Linked DNA regions of Danio rerio. Each later gene encodes a partner of the first gene's protein in a complex. Links are inferred from orthologs where the notes say so. Each region holds a gene or a part of one and is shown on either strand. Other genes may lie near its edges.

Region 1 (6,636 bases):
GGGAGGAAAGGTGATTTAAGTAATTTTGAACGTGACATGTTTGTTGGTGCCAAACGGGTTGATCTGAGTATTTCAGAAACTGCTGATCTTCTGAGATATTCACGCACAACCATCTCTTGGGTTTACAAAGAATGGTCCAAAAAAGAGAAAATATCCAGTTCTGTGGGCGCAAATGCCTTGTTGATGCCAGAGGTCAGAGGAGAATGGCCAGACAGTAACTCAAATAACCACTCGTTACAACCGAGGTATACAGAAGAGCATCTCTGAACGCACAACATGTCCAACTTTGAGGCAGATGGGCTACAGTAGCAGAAGACCACTCCGGGTGCTACTCATGTCAACAAAGAACAGGAAACTGAAGCTATAATTCGCACAGGCTCACCAAAATTGGACAATAGAAAATTGGAAAAACGTTGCCTGGTCTGATGAGTCTTGATTTTTGCTGCGACATTCGGATGGTAGGGTCAGAATTTGTTATCAATAACATGAAAGCATGGATCCATCCTGCCTTGGATCAACTGTTCAGGCTGGTGGTGTAATGGTGTGGGAGATATTTTCTTGGCACACTTGGGCCCATTAGTACCAATTAAGCATCTGGTCATTGCCACAGCCTACCTGAGTATTGTTGGCTACTTACAGCAGGATAATGCGCCATGTAATCAACAGTGAGGTGTACCTATTAAAGTGGCCGGCGAGTGTATAATTATAATTATGTATCATTCAGAAATCACACTTGTGATCATTGGCAGTTAAAGCAGATTGAGGATAAGCATATAAATTTGCATTGGAGATATAATTATTTATCTATTTATTTATTTAGAGATTATGTGATTATGAGTCATTTTAAATCATATGCAAACTAACAATTGCCAGAAAAGTCACATCATTTCATGCAGTGCAATTTTGATGAAGTAAAACGTTTAAAATATCACTTTTTGAGAAGTGTGAGAAGACCACCAAAGGGTGAACATAAATTGTAATCTTTTGCATCAATGGTTTTAAGAAGATCCTTTAACTTCCATAAATAATTTCCAAAGCAAATTAAGTGGTAAAATGTTCTTTATGTTAATAAAATGCTGTTCATGATCATTAAAAGAGCTGTTCACTGGAATGATCTTTAAAAGTTTTGTGGCTTTGAAAGCTCTCTGTTGAAACCAAGAGTATGACTTCAGGCAGATGTTTGTTAAATTCAGCCAGGCTTTAGCTAGCCAGAGCCACAGGGGGTATATTTATTAAAAGAATCATCACTCAGCACATGTGATTACTGTCTCTGTGGCATCTGCACAGTAATCAACAATGATTTCACACCTGTTTATCACAGAAAGCTCTTTGAGTCAGCTGGATCGCAGATTAACACACCTGAGCCAAATTGTGCAAAGTTCAATGTTTTCACAACTACAGTGTCTGGATCACTTGTAGCATCTCTCTCTGTCTGTGTTTATTTCTTTTCTTCCTCTCGCACTGACTCATGAAATAATTGCTGCTCTTATGCATGTTACTCATGGCAATTGTGTACTGAGCGTAAAAGACGGTGTTTTACAACCATAACATCTGGTTTGAGGGTTCAAAATGTTGTTTTTGCATAGTAGATGGATCTTTTTTTTGTTCAGTTTGATTGATGAGTCTTTTTCAGAGACAATGAAATCTGCAGTCATGTCACAAGTTCATAACCTGCAGGTTATTTCTAATGTGGGTTATTTCATTGTCTATGATGTTGGATGTTTACTGTATGATGCCTATCTCTCAGTCACGAGTCATGATTCAGTGCCAGTGATGAATTCAGTAGACAAAACACATCCAGACCCAAAAGTCGGTCACAGATTAAAGTCAGAGTTCGCTCAAACATAAAAAAAGTTTTTCTTCATAAAATCTCAATGTATTGAGTCATAGGTATTACTTTTGTTTTGCCAATACACGTCTTTTTGGCACCACAAATTTCTGGTAGCCATGGGCTTGCATTTTATGAATCACCAAAGACCACAGTTTCTGTTAAAAATCTTCTAGATGTGGAGAAAAACTGTCTCCTACTGCCAGGATGGCCTGAAAATGAGTAAATTAACAGCAAATTTTCATTTCGGGTCAGTAAATGAAAAAACACTATAGCAGTCCAAATTATCAGTTTATTTATCCGCTATATAAGCAAACAGGTATTGAGGGGTTGTAGAGACATTCAAAAAAGATCATATTTTCTATTTTTTGCTATTTATATTTATTATATTATATTTAGTTATTTTATGTAAGACTGCAAATCAGATTCAATAATGCAGTATATCATTACATTATGTGTTCAGGTGATTTTTATTAAAGTTTATTCATTTTCCTTCAGCTCAGTCCATTAATTCAATTCAATTCAATTCAGCTTTATTTGTATAGCGCTTTTACAATGTAGATTGTGTCAAAGCAGCTTCACATAAATGGTCATAGTAACTGGATCAGGGTAGTTCAGTTTTTTAGTGTTTAAGTTCAGTTCAGTTTAGCTCAGTTCAGTGTGGTTTGAAGTCATTACTGAGAGTCCAAACACTGAAGAGCAATTCATCAGGGTTTGCCACAGCAGAATGAACCACCAACTTATCCAGCATTTGTTTTACACAGCAGATGACCTTCCAGCTCCAACCCAACCTCATTCAGACTTATAACACAACGGCCAATTTAGTTTATTCAATTTATAGCGAATGAGTTTGAACTGTGGGGGAAACTGGAGCACCTGGAGGAAACCCACGTGAGCACGGGGAGTACGTTCAAACTCCACACAGAAATGCCAACTGGGTTAGCCAAGACTTGAACCAGCCCTCTTGCTGTGAGGTGACAGTGCTACTCACTGCGCCACTGTGTCATGTCTTTTTGGCACCACAAATTGCTGGTAGCCATTGGCTTGCATTTTATGAATCACCAAAGACCACAGTTTCTGTTAAAAATCTTCTAAATGTTGTTCTATTGGGGAAAAATGATCTCTTACATCCAGGATAGCCTGAGAATGAGTGAATTAACAGTAAATTTTCATTTTGGGTCAGTTAAGGTGACTGCAGCCAAAATAAATAAATAAACACTAGCAGTCCAATTTATCCGTTTATTTACCCACTATAAAAGGAAACCGGTATTGAGTGGTTGTTCAGTGAGGGACACTCAAAAAAGATCATATTTTAAATTTATTCAGTATTTATATTTACAGTTATTGACTGCAATTCAAATTCAATACAGCTGTATAATTACAGCAAGCACTTGGTTAAGTTTTATGAGAGTTCATATTTGCTGTGATGGAAATAAAACTTAGATAAAAAAAATCCACAGCTGGGACAGCAGAAAGACGTCTTTTTTATTTTTTATTTTTTTAACATTCACTTTATAGAAATATAGCCTATTTATTTTAGGTGTCATTACCGATCCGCACCAGACAGAAGAATTCATTACCACCATCATTATCGTGATAATATACCATTACACATATACAATAAAGTTAGTAACATATATACAGGATATATACTTAAAAAATAACAACCAATTTTTCAAGAAATTTATTTCCGGGGACTCCATGCTTAATTTGAGTTACTGAATTTGATTAATTAAATGTTTACTTCGGGGTTTATATTTGCAGATTAATCAAATGACTAATAAAAGGAAAAAAGTAAACTTACCATTGCTGAAACGATGTCTGTCATATCCTATGGCTGTTCCAAACAAACACACTTATTGAAGATGCGTTGCGCTCTTCTCCAAATATACTCTGCGCTTCCAAATCACTGAGAGAAAATACCTCAGATATAAACTCCACCTCTTCGCCGAAAGTTTTAAAAATAAAACTAGCGAAACAATATGATCCAAAAAATGAGTTCGCAGAGTGATTAAACAAGTCCAGCAGTGGCTCTTTGGTGACTTTAAAGGCGCTGTCCTGACTGCTGTCGCTCTTGGCCAGCGGCGGCTCCGCTGTGCTGTGGAATGCGCAACAGCTGGAACCAGAACGTGCGGTGGTGATCTGAGCATGCGTTCTGGAGACCGGGGCGCGTGCACCTCAACTAGCATTGACAGTTCGATGCGCACAAGTCAAGACATTCACCAAAGCAGCAATTTAAAAGGTGTCACATGATCCTCAGCGTATTCTTAATATAAATGCATTTTTTTTTATTTTTAACGGTTTATTTTGTGACAAATTTGATTGACATTATTAATTGTCACTGTTATTATAAAGCTTCTTGCTGAGAAATGAGTAAAATCTACTTTAAGTGGACTGACGGATAGCATACACATTTTAAATGATTTAATTAGTATTTTTGGGCTGCAGTAAAGTAATTTGAATTATTTATTATGTCATCAAACAAATTAATCTAAGCATGTCTGAAACCTTTGTTTGTTTTTGTTTTGTAAACTAAGGTTAATTCATTACATTTTATATATACAATTAAACAGGACACACTAATGTATGGGGGAAATGAATTAAACTGTAGTTTTGATGCTTTTAATGATCTGTTTTTATTTCTGACCCTTGCATAACGATAACTAATTTTTAAAGATTTATAGATTTGTGCTAATCTTATGATGCCAGTTTATTGGGTGCATTTATTGTTCATTTCTACTCACTAATTCCTTCTTTATTGCTTCTAGTCTTGATCAACATTATTTATTTTTCTGACTGCATCATTCCTCACCCACATCCTTAACCTGGCTGCAATGCATGTGGTGAGTTTTCTTGTCCAAATACCCTGAAATAGATAAGATATGATCAAATAAAGCATGCTTCATTTTCAAAAGGATAAGCTCTCTGCTCAGAATATTCACTGTAACACTATTTGTTTTTAATTAACAAACACAGTTTACAATTTCTGTAATAAATTCTTACTCTCCTCCTCCACCACTCACACCCTTCATCAGTTTGTGATTAGTGATCATGTGTCGCTGAAATCTTTTGGTAAACAGGATGTTCCAGCGCACGCTCACCCAGTTTTCTTTATCTCAGAAATAAGATGAATGGCGTTTGCTAAACAAACAGGTAAAGGCTCAATATATAATTTCTGTAATATTTCGATTTTTACTTTTAAGGGTAAAATAGTATGGCCAATAGTCTTAAAATACATGATTGATTAAAAAAGTTAATCATAATGCAAATTTTGATTACTCACATGCCAAAATAACAAATATTCTTAATGAGTAATTACACTGTAAAAATGCTGACTTTCACACAATTCCTTCATGTTGTCCCAACACAATTGTTTTTACAAATTTAAGTGGATTGAACATAAAACGATTAAATTGTCCCCAAAAAAACAAGTTTTGTGTTGATTCAGCTTATTATAAATCAGTAGTTTGAACAAGCAGCAAAAATCATGTTGTCTCATGTTTGTTTATCAATACCAGTGTACAATTGCATCACATATGCAAATATAGTCTCAATAACAGAGATTTCATTGGCTGTTGGTGATATCTGACACATTGACATGCTCAATCTTTATGTTGGTTTCTTTAAAGGCTTTTTCCCATATTCAGTGTGTATAATGCAAATTTCACTGGACTCGTGCACACACGGTACAGTATATATATATTTTTAAAACATGATCAATATGTAACCCTGAAACAAAAATGTACAACTATTATTTTTTTGTGTGCCAAATATGCATTTTATGGGTAAAAATGTTCACTTTGTCTTTCATGTCAAACTCATAAAAATATTAAGTTGCATGTTTTTATAACAATATTCTGTAAATTTCCTACTGTAAATATATCAAAACTCAAGTTTAAATATGATTTTCTCAGCATTTCTCAAAGCCTGGCTTTAAAGATATTTGTTGACTAATTGTATCGCAAGTAGATGAGGGACACATATTTATATTTACACTAAGTGTATAAACAGTGGTGGAAAGAGTACTGAAAAATCATACTAAAGTAAAAGTACCACTACTTGCCTAAAAATGTAACGCAAGTAGAGTAAAAGTATCTGTTGTGAATATTACTCAATGTATGAGAAAAAAGACCTTTCGAAAGTACTTAAGAGTATGCTGATGCATTTACATGTCATTTGTGGATGTGTGTAAAGGTTACATTTTGTACTGCATTTAGATATTGCCCAGCAGGCACACAATCTCATAAGACGTTTGGGTTAGAGTTAGGTTGTGTTGTCGGGTGACCAAAATTCAATGTCTAGCCAGTGTCTAAAGACAATGTTATTTTGATATCCAATAACAATGTCAAATAAGGTTGATAATTGGTTGATTTTAGGTTAGAATTTGACCAAAATCGTACGTGCAGCCAACATCTTAAACCAACGTCATACTGACGTCAAATACTGACATTTATTCATCAGGTATGGCAACCAAAATCCAATGTCTGATAGGGATCATAGTGGTAATGACAACACAACATCACGCTGGAACATCATTAGACGTTAATATTTGGTTGATTTTAGGTTGGCTGTTGGACATTGACATCGACCTGACATTGGATTCTGATGTCAACCCGATTTTAATTTCCAAACAAAATGCAACATCCCCATGACGTTAGTATACAATGTCAATCTGACATCTTGTCGACGTCTTGTGCCTGCTGGGTGTTCAAGGCCATTTCGCTCATCATAAACATCTGTCATCTTCTCATCAGTGACATGCATCTAAATCTTTAGTTGGACTTAGTTGGACAGGAATCACAGGACTG
Region 2 (5,914 bases), on another chromosome or scaffold:
CATTCAGCACATTTACTTTAGTAGTTATATCTCGGATTGAAGTTTATTGGAGTTTCTCAGGCAGAGATTTCGATTAGTATTAATGCTGAAAGTGAAAATAAAATAGCTGGGGAAGAAACTTCTTAAAGTAAAAGCAAGCAAAGAAAGTCTTGTCATTTAGTATATTGTTATTATTATGATGCTGCATGGCATAATTTATAAGAAGGGTATGAGGATCAAAACAATGCAATCCACAAATATTTGTAATTTATTTTATTTTATTTATTAGAACTTTTTTGTGAAGAGTTGAGCTGGCCTCATGGCATAATTTATTAGAAGGATATAAAGAATAAAACAATGCAAAACACAAACATTTAAATTTTTTATTTTGTTTTATTTGATTTATTTTAGTCTGTTTGGTTTTCTTTGTAAAAATCTGAATTCCCTAAGGGCGTTATTTATTTGCATGGTATGAGATTGAAAACAATGCAAATTACAAATGTTTTGTATTTATTTATTTATTTATTTATTTTTAATGTTGTGATTTTTGTTTGTTTGTTTTTGTATAAATCCTAACTCTTCTCATGGCATTTTAATTTAATTTAATTTAATTTAATTTAATTTAATTTTATTTTATTTTATTTTATTTTATTTTATTTTATTTTATTTTATTTTATTTTATTTTATTTTATTTTATTTTATTTTATTTTATTTTATTTTATTTTATTTTATTTTATTTTATTTTATTTTAACTTCTGTCAGGCATCTTCTGAGACAGCCAATGAGCAAATGCAGAAGTTTGGCGACAGTGGCATCTAGTGGCCACCTAGTTTGTCGCATTTTCTGAATTACTTTTGAGAAACTTGCAGAAAAGGCTTTGAGCTGAGAGTTTTACTCCCTTTTTGGAACCTGAAATCATTATCAAACAAGGAACGGTTAATAATGTGTAGCCACTAATATGATGAAATTCTTACTGTAATGTAACCTAATACAATGTAAAACGAACAAGCAAAATAAATAAAAGAACGAATAAATAAATGAGCAATTAAAAAAGGAACAAATGAACTAGTAAATAAAATAAATAAATAAATAAATAAATGAAATAAATAAATGAATTAGTAAATAATAAAAAATACACAAATAAATGAACAACTACATAAATAAACAAACAAAAAAATAAATAAATGAGCAAATAAATAAATGAACAAATAAAAAATGAATGAATATATAAATAAATAAATGAACAAATAAAAAATGAATGAATATATAAATAAATAAATTAACGAATAAAAAATGAATAAATAAATAAATGAATGAAAACATAAATAATTAATAAATAAATAAACAAATAAATAAACAAATAAATAAATACATAGATGAATAAGTAAGTAAGTATGTAAGTAAGTAAATAAATAAATAAATAAATAAATAAATAAATAAATAAATAAATAAATAGTTCAACTTTAGGGCCAATTTGATTAACAAACAGAAAAAAATATGCATTTCAAATTGTTTCTGTTGTAATTGTAATTATTGTGCATTATTTTTAGAATCTGCCTTTAAAATATTTGTTACAATTTGTGGATTTTATTTTCAGGAGTTTTAATAAAACAGCATTTGTTTGAAATAAAATCATCTTGAGCAGGTGTTTACCATGTTCTGATCTTTGGGTTTAGCTCTGCGAAAGGCAGCGGTGAATGATTAAAATAATGATTTGGACAGAGATCAGTAGAACATTTCAGGTCTTTCATTGAAGCCTCCAGTTGGACATCAAAGAACAGGCAGAAGTTAACGAACAGCCTTCATTTTTTTAATCTTGTGATATGAAATTCCTCCTTTACCAAAGACTTACTGCAAATGTCTGTGAATTACCGATAATGAGGCAAAGTCTTGGAAACCCTTTTAAAATCCATTTTAAAACAGTTTTAATGTCATTTAAATTTAATGGGCTGCATGAAAAATTCAGAAACCTTAGTATTTAGTTGAATTAAATGAAATAAACTGCAAGAAATTAACTTTATTCTTTTTTTTCTTTTTTTTCTTAGAAGCACTATGAAGTTAGAAAAACTTTAACAGTAATAAACTGATTACAATTATGAAGATACTGTCATACTGTTTTCCCCATGTGGGTTCATCATATCTGAAGGATGAGGCTTCATGTTTTGTGTCTGAATGCTGATTTTAAGGTCTTCAATTGCTGGAGGCTGCCTTCTTTGTGTTAGTGGACATTGCATTCACTCTGTTTGTCCGCTGCTCAGTGCATTATCTTGTTCATAAGGGACTCATCCACGCATAAACATTCAAGCCAGCAGACTGAAACTCTCTCGGACTGCCATCAGTGTGCTGAATTAGTCATTCGGTGCTGGAGATTCATCAGTCAGTGGTCATTTATTATCAGCGGGGTATTATAATGTGGAATGGACTGGATCCTCATCAGCTGACGTTTGGCGGTAGAGGTGGACGTTTCTCTCCTGTGGTTTCACCTCATGATCCTCGTCTCGTGTTTTCTCCACAGGATCTCCACCGGCGTTATGAGGGAGCTCCAGAATCGGCCAAAACCAAGGCTCTGCAGACTGTCATCGAGATGAAGGCAAGTGTGTGTGCGAGTTTGCTTTGTGTGTGTGGTGAGGAAATCACAAACTTTAGTATTCTTTATAATAATAAAATGATAATGGGGTTGTTGTTTTAATACTGTGCATGATGACAATATTGAGTGTGTCCAGGGCTTGACATGAACTTTTTTTGATCACCAGCCACTGTGGCTAGTAATTTTTCAACATTTACTAGCCACGCACAATTTTTAAATGGATATTATTTATGCATAAATTCAACTTTGGCATGCTAAAATGACTTAATTTAGGTTTTGTATTACACTGTAAAAAATGCAGGGTTCCACACACTTCATTCATGTTTTCCCAACACAAATTGATTTGGTTAACTTAACACTTTAAACAAATGTATGTGGATTGAAAAAAAAAAAAAAAAAAGTTGTCCCAATGATATCTCAAGAATTTAGTTGTTTCAGCTCATTTTAAATAACTCGTTTGAGCGAGCAAAATAATATGTGAAGTTTATGTATAAACTAATTATGAGAGGATCAGATCACGTGCTTATGATTGCTAGCGGCTGGATCCGCATTATCCAATTCACAATGCTCCAATCAGACGTCTCCTAAACTACTATAAATACCCTGGGTTTCATTCCACTGTTATCTTCGTTTTGAAGAGTCCCCCCTTCCACCCATACTCCTCCTCCTCCTTCCTAGATGGGTGACACGGTGGCCCAGTGCGTAGCACTGTTGCCTCACAGCAAGAATGTTTCTGGTTCCAGGCTATACCAAACCAGCAGACATTTCTGTGTGGAAATTGCACTTTCTCCCTGTGCTCACGTTGGTTTCCCCCGGGTTCCCCGGTTTCCTCCCACCATCCAAAAATGGCAAATTAAGTTAATTGACTAGTCCAAATCGGCACCATAGACATGCTTCTAGTATGTAGTTATCTCCAAAGAGCAATCACTTACTGTTCATTAGTTACTACAGCAGGGGAGTTCTCGAGATCTACCTGAGCTCAAACTCCCCTCATGCCTTGCAACGAGAGGGAGCCCCGGACTTGAGGATCTCATGAGCTCAGGGCTCTTTCCTGGGACAGCATGCCAAACAAGCTTAATAATCAATTATCAGCTAAGTGTGAACTCTTGAATTTTTTATTTTTTTTGGAGTGAATGTCCCCATGACTACTTATTCACTTTTTATGTGTTTCAAAACAAGTGAAATAGCTGTATACATAAAGGTTTTATTCAACCAAACCGTTCTTCTGATCCAGATTAATTAAATAATTATTTATTAGCAGCTGGCATACAGGAAATAGTGTGTTTTGCACCTTCCTTGTGCATCTATTTGTGTTTTCCTGAAACGTGTGTTTGTGATCTCTGCAGGACTCAAAGATCGGCTCTATGGAGCGCAGTCTGAGGGACCTGGAGGACGAGATTCAGATGCTGAAGTCTAACGGAGCTCTAAGCACAGAGGAGCGAGAGGAGGAGATGAAGCAGATGGAGGTTTACCGCAGTCACTCCAAGTTCATGAAGAATAAGGTAGAGTCATGGGGATCATAGGGAATGTTTTATTATGCTGTAGATTTGTATTTACACATGTATGTATGCATGTATTTATAGTTATATATCAATAACCTGCACCTCGTTTGTTAGCTGTGTTTTGTTGAAGTTGAAGAGTAGGTGTCTTGTGGTGTCGCTAATGTTTACGCTGATGCTAGTGTTGTTATATGGTGTCTATCAGAAAATATGAAATCAGCATAAAATTGCTTACATTTTCATTTTAAAGCAGTTTTAACGTAAATTGAGTTGCATTTTTGTGAATAAATGAACAGATAACTAAATAACTAATGAACAAATAATGATTTGATTATCGTTACTTTTATATGTATCAATACATTTTTGTAATCATTTATTACTTTTATTTTTTTAGTTTATATTACTTTAAATAACAGGTCTGATATTTTATTTGTTATTTTTGTTTATTAAAATTACTTTTTATTTAATAAATAATTAGAAATATTTTAACATTTTGATTGATATTTTCATTTTGTAGAATAGTTGTTATTGAAATTTTAATATTAGTAATAATAGTAACAATAATATTGTTGTTGATGATAAAATAATAATAATAATAATAATAATAACAATAATAAACTAATTATTATGTATTGCCAATAATAATAATAATAATAATAATAATAATAATAATAATAATAAACTAATTATTATGTATTGTCAATATTACTACTACTACTACTAATAATAATAATAAAATAATATTGTTGTTGATGATAAAATAATAATAATAATAATAATAATAATAATAATAATAATAAACTAATTATTATGTATTGTCAATAATAATAATAATAATAATAATAAACTAATTATTATGTATTGTCAATATTACTACTACTACTAATAATAATAATAAGATAATATTGTTGTTGATGATATAATAATAATAAAAAAATAATAATAATAATAAAAATAATAATATTGTTGTTGACAATAATAATAATAATAATAATAATAATAATAATAATAATAATAATAATAATAACAACACTATTGTATATAATCTACATCAAAAACTTGAAATATTTAAAAACTTTAAATGATTTTTTATTATTATTTATTATTATTATTATTAAATATTTTTATGAATTATTATTATTATTATTACTATTGTCAACATTATTATTATTATCATTATTATTATTATTATTGTCAACATTATTATTATTATTATTATTATTATTATTAATATTATTATTTTCTTTTAATAAAATAATAAACATACAGTTTTTTTTTTTTTTTTTTTTTTGGTCACTAAAGATTTACAGCTGGCATGTTTTCTCAAGTCACTGATCATTAACAAGTCTAAAAAAATGTCTCTTTCGAGCCTCGGCTACATCAATTATACCTATAGCATTTTTCTTTAGTAAAACCTCTGCTGACCTTTTCGAAAACCTCTTATTAAAGGAAATTTAATTGCAGCTAAGTGGCGAAATCATAGCCGCATGGCTTGTGAGGTGAACGCAGATCGGTCTGATAACTCTGGCAACATGGGTTTGATTGGCCGCAGGGTGTGTGTCTGCATGCCAGCTGCTGAATGGTGATTGGTGGTTTTTGCAGTAATGCCGGCCTCTCCTGACAGGTAGAGCAGCTGAAGGACGAGCTGGCGCAGAGTCAAACACAGGGCGAAGAGCTGAAAAAACGGGTTTCTGAGCTCCAGCAAGAGGTCTCTGCCGTAAGACTTCCAGAGAAGTGGCTTAGAACACAAGAGCAGCTCTGCTTTTCTGACCAGAGAGATACTCTTGCCCACGCACAGCAGATATTAGGGCTCTGATTCACTTTAACCTCCGAAATGAAAAGTCCGCCG

What was found. The genes of interacting proteins can lie anywhere in the genome.
Region 2: phldb2b (region 1) and erc1b share a complex: the UniProt entries of both Homo sapiens proteins name them as parts of the cortical microtubule stabilization complex. The link is inferred for Danio rerio from reciprocal best matches to the Homo sapiens genes PHLDB2 and ERC1.

What each region holds. Positions count from the first base shown.
Region 1 is NC_133199.1:29,127,995-29,134,630, forward strand, and holds the start of phldb2b (pleckstrin homology-like domain family B member 2), read right to left. Parts: upstream 3,926-6,636; 5' UTR 3,657-3,925; coding exon 3,633-3,656; intron 1-3,632. UniProt on the Homo sapiens protein: Seems to be involved in the assembly of the postsynaptic apparatus. May play a role in acetyl-choline receptor (AChR) aggregation in the postsynaptic membrane.
Region 2 is NC_133179.1:8,748,930-8,754,843, forward strand, and holds part of erc1b (ELKS/Rab6-interacting/CAST family member 1), read left to right. Parts: intron 1-2,494; coding exon 2,495-2,569; intron 2,570-3,912; coding exon 3,913-4,068; intron 4,069-5,689; coding exon 5,690-5,773; intron 5,774-5,914. UniProt on the Homo sapiens protein: Regulatory subunit of the IKK complex. Probably recruits IkappaBalpha/NFKBIA to the complex. May be involved in the organization of the cytomatrix at the nerve terminals active zone (CAZ) which regulates neurotransmitter release.